4 linked regions of the Drosophila melanogaster genome follow. The protein of the gene in region 2 interacts with the protein of the main gene of each other region in a pairwise test. Each region holds a gene or a part of one and is shown on either strand. Other genes may lie near its edges.

Region 1 (7,853 bases), on a different chromosome or scaffold from region 2:
AACATAATATTTTGTTGTATGAATTTTAATTTATCTCAAAACCTATCGGCACAGAATTTAAATTATCACTTATAACATTGGGTTCCTTAATTTACCTACATAACCCATTCCTGGGTTTACCTAAGATCAAATTGACAATACAAACTCAAATAGTAACTGAAACTTAACTCGTAGAGAAATTTAGTTTGGTTTTTAAAGTGAACTTAGAAAGCAAAGTAATTGACAACCCTAAAATGCTGTTAATCTTCATATAGGTTCGAGTCCATTTCGCAGTATTCCACCCCTGGCTCGATGAAGTCCTCTGGGGTGGAACTGAACTCACTGCTCTCAGAATCGGAGTAGCTCTTTGTTTTCTTGTGCGTCAAGTACCCTTCCCAAAGGACCAAACCAAATGATGGTGGAGGTCCATGGGAACGCTCCGAATCGTAGATCAGCCAGTGAGCATGTTTTTGAACATAGAGCGAGTTGAGAAGAGTTGGCCAGTGGAAGAGTAGACCCACCTTGGTCAATTTGATATGTAGGTAATAACCGTGTTGCTTCACCGAGTCGATCCTCACCTCTCCCAGCAGATTTAGGATAAATCGTTGTGGAGGTGTCGTCTCATTAACCTTGTATTCTAATGTATTTCCATCTAGACCAAGCTTATACTCCAACATCTGTTGTTCAACAACAAGTTCGATATGGGTTAGTGTCTGGTGCCATTTAACCATAGGATATACTGATTCCCTAGATTTTGTTGCGCAGTTTAGGTACTGTAGAAAAAGTTCCTTTGGAGGATCTTGGGGACCAACCACTATCGTTTTATCTTGTTTTAAAGAATTGGTAGAGGAGGATATTTCATGATGGATTGACTGAGTCTCATCTTCATGTACTATGTTTTTTATGAATTCTTGTGTATTCTTTTTCTTTGTCGGACTTTTAGTGTTAAGCTCGTGAATCAAAGTGTTTATTAAGGCAGTGGAACTGTCTAGTGGTGAAGCGTCTTGGACGTGTTCTATCTCCACGGATTTGTTAAAATCATTTAATTCGTCAATTTTATTTTGAACTTTATCTGACACGTGCTTTCTTTCCTCCAGAGTTTCATTGCTATTGGGTGATGCTATTATTAAGGGAGTTTCAACCGGATTGAGGTCTTCTTCTTTTCCCGAAGAACACGTCGCTTGTTTGTTTTGCAGAGAAGTTATTTTGCTGTCACGATTATCCAAATCAGTTGAGCTACATACAATGTTTTCTTTGTTGGCTCTTAGTTCTTCCATTTCTTGTTTCCATTGTTCATGGATTGCTCGGAGCTCTAGGATGCTTGTGCTGTCAATTTTGGCGAATCCTTGTCGGAGCAGTTCCTTGCGCAAAAACGTTTTGTAGACACTCGTCAGCATTGTTGGGCACTCCTCTATCAAAGCTATTTCCTTGACGTAGGCCACATCCAGAACTCCAAAATCGACGGTTATTTGCATGATCTCTTCGTTGATGTCAGCAAACCTGTCCTGCACCCATTGAATGGAATCCGTTGACCACATCCCACCTTGTCCTGATCCAGCCAATCCCGACAAACGAATATCCATAGCCAGTTGTTGCAGGTCTCTAAACTGCTCCGGACACTCCAGCAGCTGACTGGCCTTGACCTGCAGTAGCTCAGTTCCATAATCCATCAACTGAACAGTGACTTGAGGTCTGGCAGGATTGTCAACAATCCTAACCCGGCTTAAAAGTTCCTTATGTTGCACAAAGCACACATCGTTTATTTTGCACGGGTTGTGTACCTTTCGTGGCACACCGAAGCTCATCTTGAAGACTAATGTCGATGGATATGAAGGATAAGGCACATCGATCCAAATGGTTGAGTCTTTGGACTTATACTTCATGGGCATGACAGCCATATGAGCGGGGTCATAGGCTTTGAGGAACTTGCAACGAATCAGGGTACCCGGTTGGAGGAGAGGATTTCCAATCTTCGGAAGATCAGTCTTAAGAAAGTGATGGCGCTTGTTGCACTGGTTTCGATTGCAATTACCATTACTCAGTTTGTATGGGCAGTAGGGAAGAGTGTTATCCAATTGCTGCTCACTGTCGGGCATAGACTGGGTGGTCAAACCGTGATCCTGCAAGAACTTCATGATACGAGGCCATTCCTTGGCGTTATTCTCATCCATCAATATGTAAGTAATTAAATCTTGCCCTCTTCCAATTGGCTTTGTGAATAAATTCCGGATGTTGTCTGCCATTGTGTGGAATCGCCTCGAAAATCTTAACCACGATTCCGGGAGACTAAAATGGATAAGCAGCTGAATGTTTCTCACTGGCAACTGTTTCCGGACCTGGCTATCGTCGACAAGCATCAACCGATTAGGGCTCTGAAAGAGTTTGGTCGAATTTTTGGATTAATATTTTAGCCAATATGTTCTGTATTGATTTTGTACCTGATTTTGTGCTTTTGAAATATCCACACATTGAAGTCCGGCTTCTATTAAGATCGCACTTAGTTCTTCCAGCTCCATCTGATTTTTGCAGTAGATCAATGTGCGCTTTTTCGAACCATCCTGTTCTGCCAGGATATCGAGAAGCTGCCGTGCCTTCAAAGCGGAACTGCGAAGAGTTACATTAAATTTGAGACCTCCGTAAAGGGCGGCCTCTAAGAAGTCCCCAAATAGTATCAATGGCTTCGTTGTACGATTTAAAAGCTTCTGAAATCTCTCGGAGTGCCATTGTTGAGCTACGAGAACTAACTGCTTTGATAGGCCACCGATGCTATTAACTTTCTGAAACACTTCCTTCAGGAGTTCCGCGTTATCCAGTCGCTTGCGATCGTAATCATCGAAGATTATGAACTCTAATCTAGTTGGATTTACTAATGGCAATTCGTTGGACAATATATTGTTTAAGTGCGCCAATGTTGTCACTAAAACACCGCACGAATTGAGTAGCATCATGTACACATCCATCATGGAATGAGCATGTGTATTGACCACCTTAAGATTTTGGGTATTAAAATCTTTCATTAGGAATTCGCAATGGGAAGCCAACTTCTTGGCGTTCTCTACAGAATCCACTATCAGTATGGCCAGTGGACCCGGTGCAATCCGAGTATCGAGGTTTGAAGTTACATTTTCAAAGGAGCTCAAAACTGAAGAGCAAATCACAGGAAGATAGCTCCAAGAGCGACCCGTTCCGGAGGGATTGACCAGCACCAGGGATCCGCGGTTCACGAGATGCGGCCAGGCGTAAATTTGAGTGGGCAAAGGTGTTTGGAAGTTTAAGTCATCCATGGCGTTCAGGATAGTATTGCCCAAAGGTAACTCCTTGTAACTAGTGACAGGATTCACTGGCTCGGGACTATGGGCCAGCACTAGATGCTTCAAACAAACACTTGGCTTCCTATCACCCATGTTTTCTGAGCGGCATACGTGCATCTTTTCTACACATCTTTTTGTTGTTGAAACATTAGAATTTGGCATCTGGCTTCGATTTTTTTGTACACTTCTTTCGGATGGGTTTTTACCAAGCATGTCATTAAATATTTGTTCCATTTTATCCATTGAAAATACTACTGTTCGATTATTCGACTGGTTAGTACAATTTTCGGTTAAAGGTACGGATAACGAAGTAGTTAAGTGTGCTCCTGATGATTTAAATAATGTCATCGATTTGCGAACATTGGAGTTTGAATTTGTAGATGAAGAGGCTAGATTTCTTGGTCCACTCAAGGTTGATGAATCGGTATTCTTTTGCTGATATGATGAAAGCTTGACTTTTGATAAACATTCTGATAAATTTTCAGATTCTAGGTATTTTACCTCCTTTTTTCTATTATCTTCTGATTGATTGGCTTTATGGGGTAATTCTTTGCTAATTTGTTTTGATCTATTAGCCAGAGCAGTTTGCATCGAACTTTCGCTGATACTTTGAACCTTGCTCAGGAGTTTTACGGAGTTTGGTATAAGATAGGTCTCGTGGCTCTGTAGCAGGGCATCTAGCTTTTTCTGTTGAATTGCAGAAGGGGTTGGTGTCGATTCTTTAGCATTCTCCGACAATAAGACTACTAGTTCAAGTATTCTTCTTAGACGCGGACGTGTATCGATCGCCATGTCGTTGATCTCAGCCTTTTCAAAGCTTATATCCTCGTAAGGGATGGCCATGGTTAAGGTTTCCTTGCAGCGTCCTTGGTCCTGCTTTATTAGAAAGTTTGCAGCATCCTCAGTCTGGCATGATGATCTGAACTTAAGCAGCCCGAAATTCCGATTCGATTTGCCACGATGTACGACTTGAAATGTGAGCTGATTGGCATCCTCTAGCTGTTTGTCCAAGGACTCAATGGCGGATCGGGACCAGACACTGCCAGAATGCGGAGCAATCAAGGCCACACCACCCTCTTTAAAGTCGCATAAACTGCGACTCAAATGGTCAGGCAGCGGCCACAAATCCCACACAGAACAGCAGAGGTTAAATCCGTAATCCAGGATCCAGACCAGGTACTCCTCGTTCTGCCGCCTGCGCACCACACCCCTCACGAGCTTGGGTGGACTCCATCGCTGGTAGCGCACAATAACTCTCTCATCCTCCACGTAAACCTGTTTTGTCCTTTCACTGCTGCAGTAATCCTTCAAATCCTGCTCTATTTGGCGAACCAACATTGCTGAGTTCTCCACATCTATGCATCTCACATAGCTGAATTGGTGGGGATTTACGAAATGCGTTATCAGAATGGATTCTTCCTGGTCAGGATCCAGTTGGTGTTCCATATTTTCTACGTTTGTAATGGATGGGAATTGGTTTTAATTATAAGTTTTTAAAATGTTGGAAAAATTGATTCAAATACATTTTTTTTGGTAAATTGAGCAGCAAAAATTAACTGTTTAAATATACACACATAGTTGAGTTTAAAGTCCGCCTAACTTTTCCCTGTTCACTCATGTGGAAATTTCTGCGCGTCAGAAAACTTTGCCCAAAGCGAGCCAAAAATTTGTGAAGCCAGCCACAGGATTAAATTTGCGGATTGGGATTGTGATTTAGTAGGGAGTGAATTAGCTAATTTAAGTTGTGCAAAAGCGAAAGCAAGTGCGGCAATTGCGACGGCATCTGCAGCTTTCAAATGGGAAAACAAAGCAACTGGCTAAGCCGCAAGTAAGAAGGTCCTTGTGCCTATTTGCTGTTTGTTTGCGCTGCACTAGATGCTGCTGCAGTGCCTCCACCCCACAGCCTCCTTGTGGTGTGGCAAGTGGTGCTCCACAAACGGCACTGGAGCGTGCTGCTAGTTGTTGTTCTATCAACACTTTAATTGCCCGAGATGTTCTCTAAGGCCTCTAAATAAGTAAATGCTCTGCATTATTTGAGTTCCTTTAACATGTGCGCAAGTGAATAGGGTATTAATTGTCTAAGCAATTGGATCGATACGATCCACCCCAAATTATCCCTTGATAAAGTGAGTGGTTTTCATAAAAAAAAATCAAGGATAATGCAGGAAAATAATATGATAATCGGATCACTTGGAATCTACTCACTCGAATCGGAATTGGATGTAGCGCCGTTGTACATCGCCTCAGTTGAACAGCTGCAAAGATATTTTAATAGTATTACGTACAATTTTATATTATGTTTACAATAATATACCAAGTTAAGGGTCTTCAATCCAAAATGCAATCCAGTCCAATATTTTCTGAAAGTCAAATCAAATGTAAATTAGCAAACATAATTTTAGTTAGAAATAAATACATATTACTAAAATCCTACGTTCCAACTTTCAATATGCGCGAAACCGACTGAATTCCATTGGCAATCATTTCCAATATTCCAACCAATTCCAAACAACATGCTCACACACGCATACATGTACATACCCACTTGTAAACAGAGAAGCGGCTATTTTCAAAGTGTCAGCACAATTGGAAGATCGTAAACAAGAACGGAACTTGAGATTCAAGACACTTTCGTCTGGAAGTCAGAAAAAAGTTAAGTTACGACCAATAGTTCACATATAAATCTATTATACTTGAGTAAGAATAATAAATATTTGCTATTATTGGTCAACGGAACCGACTTTTTTTGCACAGCTAGAATGAAGAAGAGCAGGAAACTAATTCTTGCCTTCCAAATTAATCGATGTTTTAAGCTTTAAGATAAGCTCGATATCAACTTTTATCGGAATGGTCAGATCGGAATTTAAAAAAAAAAACTTTAATTTCTCCCCAACTCAAATTGAAACACACAAACAAATGAATGTACTTAAACCCTTTTTTTTTGCTAGCGAGTATGCGATCAAAACTAGAGAAACATATGTACGTTTTTTCCCTTATAATTGATGGCAATCTGGTCCCAATAAATCCTTCTCACCCATTTCGCGCCTGCTAATTGCCAAACAAAATGCAATAATTCAACCCAAAAGCACGCTTTCTTTTCCTAGCACAAATACAATACCCCTTTAACGGCCGCAATTTCCCTTTTTCACCCTTTTGTTTGCCAGGTCACCCGAAAAGTTTTACCGAGCAGGGTTGTCGCATGACCCCCCGCAACCCACAACCACAGCAGCAATCGCTTTTTATTCTCTTTTTATATGATTGTTTCATATTTATGAGGATTATATGGCTGATGCTGAGTGCTGAGAATCAGAGAAAAATTGAGTTGGACGTGTGGTAATTTATTTTTCGGCTAAGGGGACGGACTTGTAGTTAACTGTTAGTTTTCCGAGCTCAAGATCGCACAGATTATAAAGAATTTACTGTGCAATACTAATTAAATTTATCTTTATCATTATTTTACTTAAACGGAATTTGTATAAGCCAAAAAACAAAATTTATTAATAATCTCCAACTAAAAATGTGTATCAATGAAATTATTTTCTTATGGAATTAAATTTCAATAGTTTATGCCCGCCTTTGTATTTAACATCTAAACATTAGAATTAAATAAAGTATTTAAAAAAAAATTTAGCGTATAAAAAGCATGGATTGATTCCAAGTGCATTTTACGAATTTGCATTGAATCACGATAATAATATTCACTTGTAATACTTAATTAAATAATTTAATTCGGAACCCATATTAATTTACCGAGTTCGAGGCGGGTTGGCAGTCCGATTGCATGACGTAGCAACGCCGCCACTTTCCAGCACTGGCCGATTGCCAGCCAAAATGGCGCCCGCCTGCTATCGCATTGCTCGAGCAGATATCGGTTCGGCAGCGCATCACACACACAACGCGAAAAAAAAAAGAAAAATACGGGTGGCCTGCAAGCGAATATCTCCGAAATTCATTGAATCCCGACGCCGAGATTTGTGCTCCGATCCGAGAAACCCATTAGCTTCCGTGCACCGTCCGCCCAAGCCAGCAAAATAACCAAGTTCAACATACGCCTGGACAACATAATGTCGAAGAATAAAAAACTGTCGCTGTCGGGCGGCGATACGACGGAGAAATTTATTTACAAACCCAAGGATCTGATATGGTAAGCCGGGACCGTGGACTCATCAATATATTCGCTGTATTCTCAGCTGCGCTGCGCCGTGAAGAAACAAGAAAAAAAAAAAAACGAGAGATGAAAATCAAAGCAAACACCTAACCTCAATTGCGCACCGTTGGCGCTCGGAAAAAAAAATATGAAGAAAAAAAGAGCCAGTGAAGTGTGCATAAAAAAGCAATTAGCGCTGCCTTTTTGACAGCCACGCAGCGCAGTATCCATGTAGCTCCATCCGAATGACGACCATAATTCCGGAGCTACGTGCGTGGATTCCGGGCGCGCGACGTCGACTTCGCTGCGTTGGCGCTTTTTTCGCGCGCGCGCCCTTTTTTCTTGCTTTTCCTCCTTGCGGCCAATATGAGTTTTCCCTGTTCTGATAGCGCATTTTCTTTGCAGGGCCAAAATGA
Region 2 (4,570 bases):
GTCCATTCTGGCGAGCACTGTCCGAGTGCAAGGCACTCCTCCGTTTTCACCTGGGCGAGAGTCGGTGGCGATACCCTCTTCAGGTCCAGCGCCGTCTGATACGAACAGGAGTTCTCGTACATGGCGCACGCCTGGGGAGCCTCGATGGGTGGCTGTTGGCTAAACAAGGGATTCCACTTGACTCTGCCGGAGAAAGTAATAGATAGAACAAATTGGTTTTATAGTACTTATAAAACTGCGAAAATTACAAACGAAAATGAATATAAATGAATACTTAGTACTTATAAGTTACTAAAACTTAAGATATTTATTCATACACTCTTGTACTCTATTGGTAGTCAAACCAGAAGATTTAATTGCTTTAAAGTCCAAGTAAACTCCATCACTCACCTCATGGCAAATTGCAGAGCGAGATATTAATAAATCATAGCGCGTGGTCCACAATTAAATACTGCAATTTTAGAATGCCTCTCGGGCCAAACAATCGCTCTAATTGCCATGGCCCCAACACGTTAAGCTAGCTACCCGAAAACCCCCCCGATGTTCTGGCATAATTAATAGTGGCTACTTTGGAGCTGTGGAGCTAGTGTTCCCTTAGATATAAGCACGACGTGCATAATTATCTGGCTCGTTATTTATTGTGTGTACAGTCCCGCTTTTTGCACTGGGCCAACGTTGCGTATGAGCGTTGAACTGTGCGTGGGTGGCGGCCATTTGAGCGTGGCTCTCTAATGTCCAGCTGGTCGAAGCTGGGGAAGGCGAACCATTGTTTACTGGCCCTTTTCGGCCAGTCTGCAGTTAGCACACACAGGGGGCATGCAAATTTTTGCACTCTGCCCTCGTCGGAAGTTGCTGAATTTTGATTTATGCCAACGAAATTTATGCCATACAAAGTGCGACTTGTCCTGTCTCTGGCTTAAAGTACACCAAACATACCCGAAATGAAAACTGTAACTGAAACCCCAGCAGCTTTAAGTTTGCCGGGAGGAGTAAATAGATTTCGTTATCGAAACGGTCGCATCTACAGAACATCATCAACTTTGCGCCTTGTCAGACATTATAAACGGCCTGCACACGCCTCATTTATTATTTATTATTTGTACTCAGGCCGAGTGGCTGCGTTTGCATGTAGGCAAATTTCACCAGCGAACATTAGCAGGCAGACATTTTATTTTTTTTGTATTCTGGTATCCTTGTATTCCCCAAGTTATCACAATCGCTGAGCGAACGCGCGCACACCGGAAATACGAGCGGGATGCCAGGATGTCGGTCTGCAGATGGGCTGAATGCTCGTCCCGTTCTGCAGCGCGTGCTGAGTCCTTTGAATACCACTTGGTATCGCTGTGATTGCCGAGTTTATGCTCTTCGACAGCTGTTAATGGTGTAATCCCCTTGTTGGACGAGAGATCCTTTAATTAAGAGGCCACACGTTTGGCTGCTCTTTAATGGTTTGTAAGATTTTTATGCGATTTTAGGAAATTAGGATTTTTGAATGTTTGCACAGCCGACTGGTTGATGAAACTGTGCTGCTGTTTAATTGTCAAGCTTTTACCCAATGATGCTGCTGATGTGCTTTTTTTCTGGTTTATGAATACTTCCGTTTTAAGTCTACTAATTCGATTAGCAGAAACATATGCTTCACAATTATCTGATGATGGTGGGGTGAGCTTTTTAGGGGTTGGATAACTGTCGTTAGTTAGAAATTAAAAGCAACCATCTAAGTTCACAGGTGCTGTATCTAAGCGCTCAAAATTCTATGTAAGTGGATTTAATTTATCAGATCAGAATGTTTGAATAGAAAGTATCATAGTTTACAAATATCTTAGAAATTCGAAATAAATTCTATCAAAATATTAAAGTTTATTATTGTAATTATTCTTTACTGACATTGGTTATAAATTTTTAGATTTAAAATAGACTTCAACATGTCTGGTATTCTGAATTCGTACATTTCAAATATTTTTATGCATTTAATATTTTCCCCATTTTATGCTGGAGATTTTCCCCATTTAAGCCTAGGAGTATGTTTTCAATTTTTGAATAAAATTCTACCGTTACGATATTATCTTTAATTTACTTCAACTTTGGTTCAACAAAGCACTTAAAAATACATTAGTTATTTAGGACCCCGTCGGAGTTCTGAATCATGTTGATCATTCTATAATTCGAACATAACTCACCTCAGGATTGTGCCTGTATGTGCAATAAAGTTTATCCAAAAATAAGTCTCCTCTTTGACTGTCTCTTAAACTTCCGTCGGGACAACTTAAGTTACAACTTAGTAATCTTAAACACTTCACAATCGTTGGGAATCGGTGCAGTTAATCACTCACTCAAGTGCGTACAAATTGCCAACCGGAAATGAAATTATTGTCAAAATGGCGACGGATATGCGACAAGTGAACGCGACAGCGACGCGCCACGCAAATGACGGTTTTGTTTGCAGCCAAAGTTTCGTAGTCCTGGAGCGGATATGCAAGGAAATTTGTCACTGCAAGGACGATGACGGCGACGACCACCAAGCCAACTGGACACCGACGGCAGCGGGCTCCTTGGGCATTTCTCGATGTCTTTTCGCACAGGTGCAGGTGCACAAAAGGTGGGTGGTGGTGGGTGGCGAGGGGTGAGAGGTTCGCAACGAAAGCGGAACGAAAATGAAATCAAAAAGCGAAATTTCTATAATTTCCGCACAAAAATTTCCGCGACACACTGGCAGGACACATGTGTGTGTCCTTGTCTGTTTCTTTTTCGTGCGCTGCCACGCCCACAGCCAGCAACAAGCTGGGCGTATGTGTCCAAGTTTTCCGCACTGCTTGCCGTGTGTAAGTGTACAAGTGTGTGCCGTGTGTGTGCTTTGTGTTTTTTGTGGTTTTTGTGCCTTCGTTTGCCGCTTGTGCTGACCAAGAAAGGTTCGCTAGTTTGGTCCTTGTCCCGGGAATATTGACGACGTGTGACCGACGAATCTAAACCGCAAAGTACCGCTATTATGTCGTCCGCGACGTGTTGCACTTGGTAGCGCGCACTCCAAGTTAATGTGGCGGCCAGATCATCCCGTCCAGTCACCAGTCCACGCTCAAAGATGGCGACACACTCCTCCCACAAGCGGTGGCTCTGTGTGGCAGGGGAACTGGGCGCTATCACCGAGGATGTGTCACCCCATCGTCCTGCGTTTCTGCGGCGGCTAATGCGCAGGCGCGCTCTCCGCACCACAACCCCATCCACCGCCCACTTTGCCGCTGCTCTGTTATCTGCCGCTGTCATCGGCTGCTGGTGGGCGGAGCCAACTCTGTGCCATCGGGGATGTGGATGTGGATGTGGCTATGGCTGTGGATGCTCCTGCCTTTCGCCGGGTCCTTTGCTCCGCGTTCTTGGGGCATCATTAGTGCTGCCGAAGAGAGAAGACCCCATTTTGGGCGGAAGTGCGTATGAGCAATATTTTAACAATGGCGTTTAAAACAGTTAAAGAGCGTGTGCTGGTGTGCGAGGCCATTAGGACCTTAGTTTTGCGGTGGCTTTAAGGCCCGCAGATAAGCCTCGCATAATAACATTTTAATTTCGAGCAGCAGTGGCCACAAAAGACCCGCCAAGATACCCAGATGCTCCTGCTGCCTGCCAAAAAGGATATAATTAACATGCCAGCTGCTGCAGAGCACACACACATGTGCTAAATGACGTCTAGATAAGCGGTGAGCCTGGTGACATGATTTAAGGTCCTGCGATGGATGGGGCAGGATAATTTGCGATAAGCGGCATTCGGGGTGATTAATTTGCCAGCCCAAGTTGTGGAATGTCTTCGAAATGTCTTCAGCTCTCAATTTAAACTAATGAGCTCATGTACAGCATGTATTTAATATTTAAGATTGGTTTTAGGCAACGAGAAGATGTCTTTGCAACAATGTCGTAATTTGAAAATAACTTACTCCCATATAAAAAGAAAAACAGGTTTCTTAAAACAACAACCTGAATTATATATTTTTAAGTTTAAAATCCTTTCCAGGATAATGAAATTTAACGGTTAAGTGAGCTTACCAAAGCAGCTTAACTTTAAAGCTTGTAGAGCTTTTAGTAAATTAACAAACCCAAATGGCTTCGAATAAATCCTTAAGGTTCTTTCCCAAATAAAACAAAGCAAATACAAAAATCTTCAATCTTTTAATTAAACAAAACACACAAATGTACACTTATCACAATAAGTTTTGCTGTCTATAACTCGTATGACATAAGTAGTCCCAATTATAAAAAAGTCTGCTCAGTTGCGCTTGATCAATTAGCCAGTGATAAAATAAGTTACAAAAACTCATTCAGCAGGTAGAATAGAATGAATGTCTTGGAAATGCGGATGGAATTTTAGAAACATGTTGCGAAGTCTTTGAAAAGTATCTTTGCGCCTTAGATGCGACTTTTGGAGCTCGATTTTACTTCAAATAGTTTGCGCACAAAGAATACCTGCAAATATTAGGTTATTAATTTAGGAAAAGCAAAAAACATGTCTATACTCGCCTGTACAGAGCACGTGATCAATATGACCACAATTTGGCTAATCGAGAAGGTTTGAATATAGGCATTGTTG
Region 3 (6,418 bases), on a different chromosome or scaffold from region 2:
AAAGTTAATGCTACGAAATCGCACATCGTCGAGCGGGAATTTGGGGTAAATCCTCAACACGGCAATGTCGTTGCCGCCGAGCACCCTAAACTGGGGATGCCATCTTCTTTCCACGACGAAGAAGCGGGTCTGCTTCCGGCTGTTCAGCGAATCGGCGCCACCAGCCACGTACAGTTGTTTGGTTGGATTCGTTTGGATGCAGTGGGCTGCACTGAGCACGAACTCATTCGAAAGTATAACGCCCACGCAAAGGTGCTTGTAGTATCCTTTAAGGTTCTCTCCTATGGAGACGATGTATGGATAACGAGGGCGGAAACTTATCACCTTCGTGGTCGACACAGTTGTGGCTAACAAAGGTGTGCTATTCTGCGGGGTGTCGGAAAGCGTCTCCTGGGCTGCCGACATCGCGGCGAACCAAGCTATGGAGCAAAGAGATTGCCAACAACACATAACTGCGACCAAGTCACGAATACAAAGACGTCACAAAGACGTCTTGTAGTCAGGTTTTATCATCAAGCATCTTAACTTTATAATTGGGCATGAAATTATAATTTTCTGTATTCTCACATGGTTAACTTTAAAAGAATATACATTTAAATTCCATTATATTATCAAACTTTATAAAGTATAGCAATATTTTTTTTGAAGAGAAAAAGCTTGTACGGTTACTATCTACACGTCTGCAAAATTATGGAAACAGTTCGAAAATAGCTTAAAAGAAAATCCTCATTAGACCCCTATAACCGTGATCAATAGAAATGCTACTTGCTAGTGGCAGAATCTCTGAGGGTCTGCTTCATATTGGCCACCTGGTTGAGCTTGGCAAGGCGCTTCATGGTTTCGAGCTCCTTAATAAACGTGGCCAGCGCCTCTTTTGTGGTCGAGATGTCAGCGTCCTTTAAGTCATCCAACGTGTCCTCCTTTTCAAGTTCTAAAAGAAATTCAAAAATATATATAGATTCATATATACTCGTGACAAAAATTAGTTTTGGATACTAACCGTCCATTTCGGCTTCTATGTCATTCAGCCGATCGAGAACCAAGGATTGCTGCACCTTGATATGCTCGATCAAACGGTACTGGCACTCCTCCGGATCGATGGCAGCTTCCGGTTGCGGAACGTTCGGAAGGTCGGGGGCCTCCAATTTTGCACGCTTAACCGGTGTCAACGCAGTAGAGTCCAGATTGTCTTCGTCCCACTTTTTGGCCCATAGATAAAGCTTCGGATGACAGCGGTTGCGTGCGATGTTAATCTTCACCAGCAGCGAGTGCATCGATCGCTTGGCATCTAGCAAATTGCCGGTCAGCGTGTGCGAGCGCTTCAAGAGCTCGAATTGTTTGGTGGCCTGTGGATTTGCAGTGTGATACGCGGCCACCGGCAACTTGCCTTCGAATAGCCAGTCCTGGTCGTGCTTAAATCTCATAGAATCCCGACCCCTCTGCGGATTGCGACAAATGTAGCACACATACTTGTCCGGTACATCTGCCTCTTTGACAATTCCGTTGCATGCACCGTGTTGCCAGCATAGGCACAATTCACATTGGATCATTAGGCCGTCCTCTTCGCCATACTCGCAGATGCAGTTAATGATCTCCTCCTGCCGCATGCGCACAATTCGAATTAGTTCACCATTTTCCTTGATGTACTGTGGTGCTTTGCTTAACGTTTCAGCTGGTGGTGGGGCAAGGGCTGCATTTATGTCGGTCTGGTCATTAGATGATGGCGTGGACACCGAATCTCCCATGGCTGGTGAGTCAATGGAACTGATGGGAGTTGTTGCCGCACCACTGCGGCGTTTTTTCGAGTCGATGCGCGTATCCGGAGTGGGGGTGTTAAAAGATTGCCGTGTCTCCTCAACATCTTGTTCGGTTAAGCCATGACCAGCCGGGTTATCTGACAAAATGGGACGACGCTGAGAGCGCTGGCGGTTACTCTTTCGCGAGCCAGATGGCCGCTTCGACGGCGACAAGCGTGCACGCTTGCAGGAACGACTCAATGAAGGATTAAACGACTGAGTTGGACCAGCATCCAGAGAAACATCTTCTTGTTTAATGCCACTTTCAACAGTTGGCGACACACTTGGTGGCTCCATCTTAGGAGATAACAGGGCCTTAGTAGGCGTTATGTCAGATGGCGTTGAAGATGTGGCCGTAGCTGATACACTCTGTCGTTTAAACGATCGTGACTGCTGCAAATCCTGCTGGTGCATTTTGGCAAAGAATTGCTGGTTGGGTATTTGGTTTTTTGGCACCGCCTCAACTTGATCGATGGATGAGGGGTGCGTACGTTTGACCGCTAGTTCCTGCATCTTTGGACAGTGGCTGACGTGTCTGTAGATTTAAAGTAAGTTAGGTGTCATGAGTTTTGAATGAATATTACTCACTCTGCAAACTCCTTGTGATAATGGCGAATGTGGATTAGCAGAAAGTCTTCTTTGCGATAGGTCTTGGCGCAATCTTCGCGCGGGCATACATAAAGATTGTCTTGGATTTTGACTTTTAGGCCCCCAATGAAAGCTGAAATATGGAATTATAATTTATTTTAATATAGCACATGTTATTTCAAATTGCATATACTTACCAAAGCCATTTTCCACCACATGAGGATCTGCTAACATAAGCTGAGAGGTACCTCCCTCACTGGCTTCCAGTATTTCTGCTTCTATCTTGGGCTTTGTCTCATCGGCAGGCTGCGTCTGCGGCGACATTAACTCAGCTGGTGGCATAAGCGAGGCCACCGGTGCTTCCATGTACTGGCTTTCTTTCACCGGCATCGGAGTAGAAGGTAAAGAATGTTGCGACGTGATGCTCTGGTCCAGCGTGGAGTTCATCGACACATCCATGGGCCTGGGCTTGGGCGGTGGCTGCGGATTGTAGCCGTGTGTGTAGACGTAAGCATTGATGTCTTTGGCACGACGTCGATGGATGCTAAAGTCGTACACATCCGGGTTGTAGACCAGATTCTGGGACTCAAGGAACAACTTCAAGTCGGACTTGGAGCGGAAACGTTTGCCGCTGGGCGAGACCAGAATAACATCCCACTTGCCGAGGACGTTGGACCGCTGGTACATGTGCTTGATCCAGCCAGGAGGCAGACGCCAATCCTGCACGATAACAGTGGGTTTCTGGTGCTCGCCCACAATCAGAAAACCCTCGGTTCCAATAGGCTGGTCATTTACCCAATGACAAGTCCACTCGCCGTCATGCGGTATTTCTGGGAGTCCAAGGGATGCTGTTGGTTACGAAAGTCAAACATGAAAGTTAAGTTTAAGGCAAAACTAACATTCTCCTTTCGGTGCTCTTACCTATATCCAAACTGGCCATGTCCAGCAACGGCCAATCCCTGCGCTGAGGTGCACATTTGCTCTTCTTGCTGCCCGAAGAGCCACTGGATCCGCCAAGGCTGCCTGTGCTCGCCCGCTTCGGAGCCACAGGTGCAGAGCTTACTGGAGTTCCAACAGGAGTGGGTGACTTTGAGGCACCCTCTTCCGCTACCTGAACAGGGGGCAACTGCTTGGGCATCTTGTTCATGTGCACGGCGCGCACGTTCTTAACGTAACCATCGTCGAAGAGAACCTCGTAGGTATCGTTGCCCAGCAACTTGCGTATGGTTCCTGGAAACTTACGCGGCCCCGACCAGCGGGCCATGCACTTCTCGTCCAGCTCAAAGACGGGCAGCACACGGTTGCTGAGGCGCTGCCTCAGCCGCTCCGACTTGATGGCCATCCACTCCTGAAAGCTGCCGCTGGTCGAAGGTGACACCTTTAGCTTGTGATTGCGCTCAAAGCGCACGAGTAGCGTCTGCTCCGTCTCGTTAACTTCCACGATGCGGGCGGGCAACCAGTTGCCTTCCACACTGAGCGCCTCCAAACGGGCGCCAATAGTCAGGTTATGTGGGTTGCTGTACTTGGGCGGTGTGCCGGGCAAAGGTGAGTTCGAACTGGAAGCGGATCCAGGAGCTGGGACTGTGGCTTCGCTGCTTGCGGCTACCGGAGTCCCTGAGGGTTCCTTTGCAGCTGCCTTGTTTGCATCTTCTCCACTTTCGGGAGTATTTTTAACGTCATCCGCCGCCTTGCCTGTTTTACCTTCCTCCGTGGCCTTGCGTTCTGCAGATTCCGACAGGATTTGCGCAACTATTTGGTCTACCGTAGCTTTGATCACATCGTCATTGGTCGATGACTGAGCATTTCCCGGGGTTTCAGTCGTTCCCTCCACGCTGGCGTGCTGAAGTGCCCGTTGGTCTGCTTCGATCTCCGCGGTATCCATCTTGCCCCATGGAAAAACGGTGGGAAAGACGCGCGGCTTGAGCAGATACTTCCCATTGCGGATAGTGTTGAAGTCCAAACGGCGGAAGTGGCGTGAGCAGACCAGCACGCTCTTGGTGATCTGGCGCTCCAGGCTGATGCGAGAGTTTTTGATCCATATGGCGCGGATGATGGGATCTAGGGGGAAGGAGTGGTAAGTCACGCCGTTGTGCTCCAACAGACGCGACGTCGACGGGCAGTTGGCCACGCAGCACCGGCGGCCCATGGCGATGAAGTTCACCCAATTCTCTATTTTGTTTGCCTATGTGCAAACGCACACTTTGCTAAGTGATGAAATAATCCAGGAAACGACGCGAAAATTATCCAGAAAAATACAGCGCAATAAATTAGTGATACCAAATTGGGGTACAGTAAAAACGTGTGCGTCGGCAAACTATCGATAGTTAGATATTGCCACCTTGTTGGAAAAGTTCAAAACTATTTAACGATATTTTTTGAATTTTATAAAAAATAAATTTTAAATGACTTTATTGCATAGATCTTTATTGTGGTGATAAATAAATACTACTTTCGATAAATAAATAAATATTACTTTAGAGCCTGAGTAGGTTGAATTTAATTACTTTTTATTTCTGACTATCTCAATTTTCATGAAACTTTACATCAATCTTCCTGCCATAAATTAACTATTAAAGTTGGTAAATACCCGCTGCACAATTAATATTAATCGGTGCGTTAATGCATTTTAGCGAAGTGAGGGTGCCATAAATTTCCTCAGCTCGGCGGAAAAAGGATCACGTGCCGATACGCCACCGTTCCCAAGGCCACCGAAAGCCTATTTGAAATGCAATTAATGTACGCTTTTGGGCTTACATGTCACCACGTTCGCCAAAAGGCAGACACCTTGCAAAAAGCTAACCAAATACGATATTATCCATTCGACAAATGCTTCTGGAAATATGTATTTCAACACTGGGTTTCAAAGTTTGAGGAGCAGCTATTTACGCATACTGCTAAAATAAACACTCATTGTAGTTTTTAATTACAATATTTCACCCGGTCATTAGCATGCAAGAAACAACTGACAAATTTAAATGTGGCGCCTGCTGCTTGATCGGTTGATTGAGCCGCCAAAAAAATCGATTGAAGTATGGAGCTTTGGCCTTCAAATCGAAATATGTGAGGAAAATGTGATGGCACATTTTGAAAGAATAAAATATTAAGATTCTCTATATTGTGTCAATATCTTATGTATATATGTGGCTTGACCCCTCGAATTCCGTAACTAAACAGTTTAGTTCCATTACAAATATTGTTTTAGAATGATAGCCGGAAACTCACGGTCGAAGAGCTTCCTGTTTTTGGGTACTTCCCTGAAAACGAGGTCTCTGGGTCAATCGGTTGACTTTTAGATCTTGGGCGTGTTTGCGAAATTGACACGGAGCCAATATCAAATGGTGTTGACTTTGATTCAGTGGATTGCCAATATTTGTAATCAAATCACGGCTGGAGCATAAAGCAAACTTTAATTATAAAATGCTTTTATTGTCATATGCAGCTGACATAAATATTAAATAACGTGAGTAATTGACGTTGCTAAGCCGAATAATTTAGCATTTTATAAATTTTGGTCAGTCAAAAACTGACATTGAGGGGGCCACTCGAAGGGAAATCCAAAATGGGTGGTAAACACGGTTAGATTTCCGTTTGCATAACTATTAGTGAACATATTTGCATAAATTATCGACACTCGATGAAATTGGGACGACTGCACCTGACCTCACTCTCTTTTTGTGCAAATAATTCAACAATATGTAACCTGTGCAAAAATATTTTTCAAAAACAGAAAACCGAAAACAGAAATATGTACAAGGAGAGTACAAAACTTTTGGTCCAACTGACGGCGGCACTTTCTCCTTTAATATTTACCCAACTCATCGACAAATTGGCCAGGCCCATTCCCCAGCCTCATCTCATCGGTCCCAGCCGCATAGCCCATAAGTCAGCCCCTTCTCCCTCTCCCTCTCCCGATCCCGATCCCCATTCCGATACCGTCTGGGAACTCATTGCGTAAATATGAGGGCATGCAATGCGGTAATAGGCTGGCTGCGCGTCTCTTGACAGTTGGGCCCAGTTTCCCGGTTCCTTATCAC
Region 4 (3,316 bases), on a different chromosome or scaffold from region 2:
CGTCTGGAGTGTCGACTTATAAATACGCTCGTACAATCCATAAATGTGCCTTTGTGTTGAACAAAAACCATGAAGAAATCGGTATACATAATGAAAACTCGATTGGCATAAGAGGTACAAGCTGTATGAATACAGGTTTCAACTCTTTTTTGTATCAACATCAGCCGAAACTGGTCAAACGGCTTTGGAACATGGGCCATCCGATGGCTTATGTATCGTTTTGACAGTTTATGTTTATACTAAAATTTCGCTGCAGGCGATAAATATGTATTGAGACAGCATCCGGCCCAAGAAAGTAGTGGCTAGGGGGATGAATAACAGAACATGGGATTTATGTAAAAATATCAATTACACATGTGGACAATTTGCTTGCATACATAGTTAATATACATATGAGCATATATATTCATATGAAATTCCATACAAATCCATGTTGTATGAAATTGATATTGAAACCCACGTATAAAAATATATTGCCGTCGTTAGATAATTTATGGTTTAAAACAAAATAAAATGCATATTTTTTATACATTATTTAATGTTGTTTTTAATGTTTTTTTCATTGTCTTAAATAACTCTACAACTATTGTATTATTATCAAAAATTACAAAAGTAAGCGTATAATATATACATTGCGCAAAACACAGAAGTTACTATGAGAAAACTATTTGACGCATTATTAAGAACTAAAAAAAATAATTGAATCATTGGTTGCATTAAAGTTTAACCCCTGGTTTGTGAATATTATTGTTTGTATATTAAATTACAAATTACAGTTCATTATTTAAATTTCGCGCCCTAAAGATTAGACGATTTACGATAACGATTAAATGTATTCTTATTGCTTATGTTAACTTGCTGTTAAACGAATTTTGCCCTTCTTGTAAATGCATTTGTAAATGATTTGACTTCTGTAGTGAATATTCAATTCGGCTTGAAGTTTCGTAGGATTTTCAGGACCTCGATCTGAAAGTCAAGCTTGCGATCGGCGCACATCTGCTGCATGTGAGGCTTAATGGTGTCGAAGAAGGCCTGATCAGGATCGGCGGACAAGTAGGCGGTATTTGTACTGCAGGGTGGATCTGATGGTAACTGTGGAATATATGCGATTTCCGGAGTGGCGGTGTCCTCCTTGGCGCAGCCCAGATCTCCCAGAACCGTATTTATGTTGCTTGGTATGGCTGGATTGCGGATGGCAGGCTCAATATTCGATTCTTGGTCGGAGTTTCTCTTTCGTGGAGTCTTTGCAGATCTCTGTGCGGCAGTGCTCACTCGCTTCCGTTTGGCCTGGGGCTTGGGTTGCTCCTTCAAGGATTCTACATCGTCCTCCGACTCTGCTTTCACGTTCAGCAGGAAACTCAGTTCCTTTTCGTAGATGTAGGAAGCTCTGGCCACCTCCTCGCCACTTTGACGTAGTCGGTTGACCCGTAGGTAGCTGTCCCTCGTGTTTTTCCAACGTTTGAGCAGTGTTTTAACTGGAATTGGAAGTTATGTATGATATAGACTCAAAAAGGTAGCCACCACCTACCTATTTCCTGCTTCTCCGGCTCGCTGGAGTCGTCAAAATTCGAGCAAAGCTCGTGGCCAATTTGCTGCCAGGCCTCATCTCTGAGTTCGCGGTTATGGAAGTTTGGGTGGCTTCGTTCCCATATAATAGAACGTTTGTGTACCGCGTCAATGAACTCGTACATCGAATAGCGCAAATTGCTTCCTGCCGATCGAAGAACTTTATGATTGCCCATTATTTATTGTTTATTTAAGGGTTGGATTGGATTGACAATATGTTGCTTGCGTTTAACAGCACCACGGGCAGCTGCTTAACAGCACTCCCCGCAGAGTTGCCACCTCGCCCCGCATTTAAACTAAAAACGTTCTGATGTTATGAAAATACAAATTTCAATTTTGTGTTTTATTATTAAACATATACAGATAGGTCAGTGGATTATTGTTGCTGTTGTTCTTGCTTCGAAGCGTGCGAAATGCGAAGGTATGACCGAGTAATACGTGTACGTGTTAAATTAGGAGAGAAATGCAAGTGAGTTTTGATGATTAGGGTGTAGTGTTCTCTGGATTTCTGAATGATTCTATTTACATGGGCCTGCCCATTCCGCGGCCCATTCCCATGCCACCGCCGGCCATCGGGGGTTCTCCGGCCTTGGGACTCTTTATTGTCTCATCGACGGAAAGGATCATGCAGGCTGCCTCGGCGGCCGCCGTCAGTGCATTGATCTTAATGATGGACGGCTCCCAGACGCACTGCTCATAGTTGTCCGAAATGTCTTCCTTGTTGATGTCGACGCCGTACCACTGTCCTCCTGTAAAAAGGTAAATGTATAAAATTATAATAATTATTAATTAGAGTTCAAAATTACACGACCGATTTGAATTCGCCAACGATTTTTGCAGGTAACATTTCGTTCAGGTGGCAACGCCGCTTACAGCCCGCGCAATAAACGAATTGAGAAGGTGCGAAAGAGCACAACATACAGCACATGTGACTCGAGTGAGAGAGGACGAGTGACAGTGAGGTCGAAGAAAAACACGCGTTGCTGCGGCTAAAATTTCCTCTGTATTTACATTATTTGGAAGAGAAAACGCAGCCAAACGAAATGTCCAGCTCCGGAAGAAAGCGCAAGCAGCAACTTAAGCCGCGTCAGGACGATCACCGGTCGCCGGTGAAGCGACGCAGTGTGGACATCAAGTCGGAACCCTTGGACGGCTATCCGGCGCTAGCAGACTACGATTTAAGTACGGCCGATATCAAGCCGGATCTCACTGAACTCCAATTGCAGCTGGTGGCGGAGCAGCAGGCGGCCAGCAACACCATTCGCTTGGAATTGGAACAGCAAGAGAGTGATTCCGACGAGGATGGCTACTCAGAGCTCGATTACCAAGCTGAAGATGTCTTCTGTCAGGGTAAGAAGGGTGCTCCTCCCGTCATTTCAAGACCCCACTTATAAAATTATCCTTTTTAAACCCAGACGATATGGATGACTACGATCCAGATTGGTCCAGCCAGCAGACGGGTTCCCGACTGCTCTTCAAATTTCCCATCCAGCAGAGTGGCCTGAAATTCGGACAACGCTTCCAGGGACCACAGCACTACTTCAACCAAGTGCTGGGAAATCGCTCCAAGTTCTTCAGTTCCCTGGCCCAAAGCTGCAACCTAAAGGGAGGAGAGCTCAAGTCCAATCCCACAACTGCCGAAGAAATGGAAATCTTTATGGCGCTTTCCCTGCTTATGTGTGACCTGAAGCTGGAGCACCTATCGGATTACTGGAGCACTAACATGTTTTACGGTCTCGTCGGATTCTCT

What was found.
Region 1: the proteins of Ets65A (region 2) and CG31875 interact in a two-hybrid assay, tested with the Drosophila melanogaster proteins (one large-scale study listed by BioGRID).
Region 3: the proteins of Ets65A (region 2) and MBD-R2 interact in a two-hybrid assay, tested with the Drosophila melanogaster proteins (one large-scale study listed by BioGRID).
Region 4: the proteins of Ets65A (region 2) and hng2 interact in a two-hybrid assay, tested with the Drosophila melanogaster proteins (one large-scale study listed by BioGRID).

What each region holds. Positions count from the first base shown.
Region 1 is NT_033779.5:9,996,693-10,004,545, forward strand, and holds the start of CG31875 (uncharacterized protein), read right to left. Parts: upstream 6,045-7,853; 5' UTR 5,836-6,044; exon of another isoform or gene 5,714-5,835; intron 5,651-5,713; 5' UTR 5,605-5,650; intron 5,546-5,604; 5' UTR 5,492-5,545; intron 4,742-5,491; exon of another isoform or gene 4,737-4,741; coding exon of another isoform or gene 2,418-4,736; intron 2,352-2,417; coding exon of another isoform or gene 240-2,351; exon of another isoform or gene 14-239; intron 1-13. Other genes in the region: SoYb (sister of Yb), read right to left, coding at 240-2,351, 2,418-4,736; Ndf (Nucleosome-destabilizing factor), read left to right, coding at 7,355-7,434, 7,843-7,853.
Region 2 is NT_037436.4:6,096,082-6,100,651, reverse strand, and holds the start of Ets65A (Ets at 65A), read right to left. Parts: upstream 3,036-4,570; 5' UTR 2,181-3,035; intron 184-2,180; 5' UTR 123-183; coding exon 1-122. Other genes in the region: loj (logjam), read right to left, coding at 4,390-4,446, 4,501-4,570.
Region 3 is NT_033777.3:12,351,614-12,358,031, forward strand, and holds MBD-R2 (MBD-R2), read right to left. Parts: upstream 4,653-6,418; 5' UTR 4,531-4,652; coding exon 3,306-4,530; intron 3,233-3,305; coding exon 2,582-3,232; intron 2,518-2,581; coding exon 2,385-2,517; intron 2,332-2,384; coding exon 1,001-2,331; intron 932-1,000; coding exon 762-931; 3' UTR 530-761; downstream 1-529. Other genes in the region: CG10041 (uncharacterized protein), read right to left, coding at 1-450. UniProt on the Drosophila melanogaster protein: Component of the non-specific lethal (NLS) complex, a multiprotein complex that promotes expression of housekeeping genes on X chromosome and autosomes.
Region 4 is NT_033777.3:8,804,792-8,808,107, reverse strand, and holds hng2 (hinge2), read right to left. Parts: upstream 1,787-3,316; 5' UTR 1,743-1,786; coding exon 1,529-1,742; intron 1,476-1,528; coding exon 925-1,475; 3' UTR 527-924; downstream 1-526. Other genes in the region: CG9839 (uncharacterized protein), read left to right, coding at 2,610-2,916, 2,982-3,316; CCT7 (chaperonin containing TCP1 subunit 7), read right to left, coding at 2,089-2,315.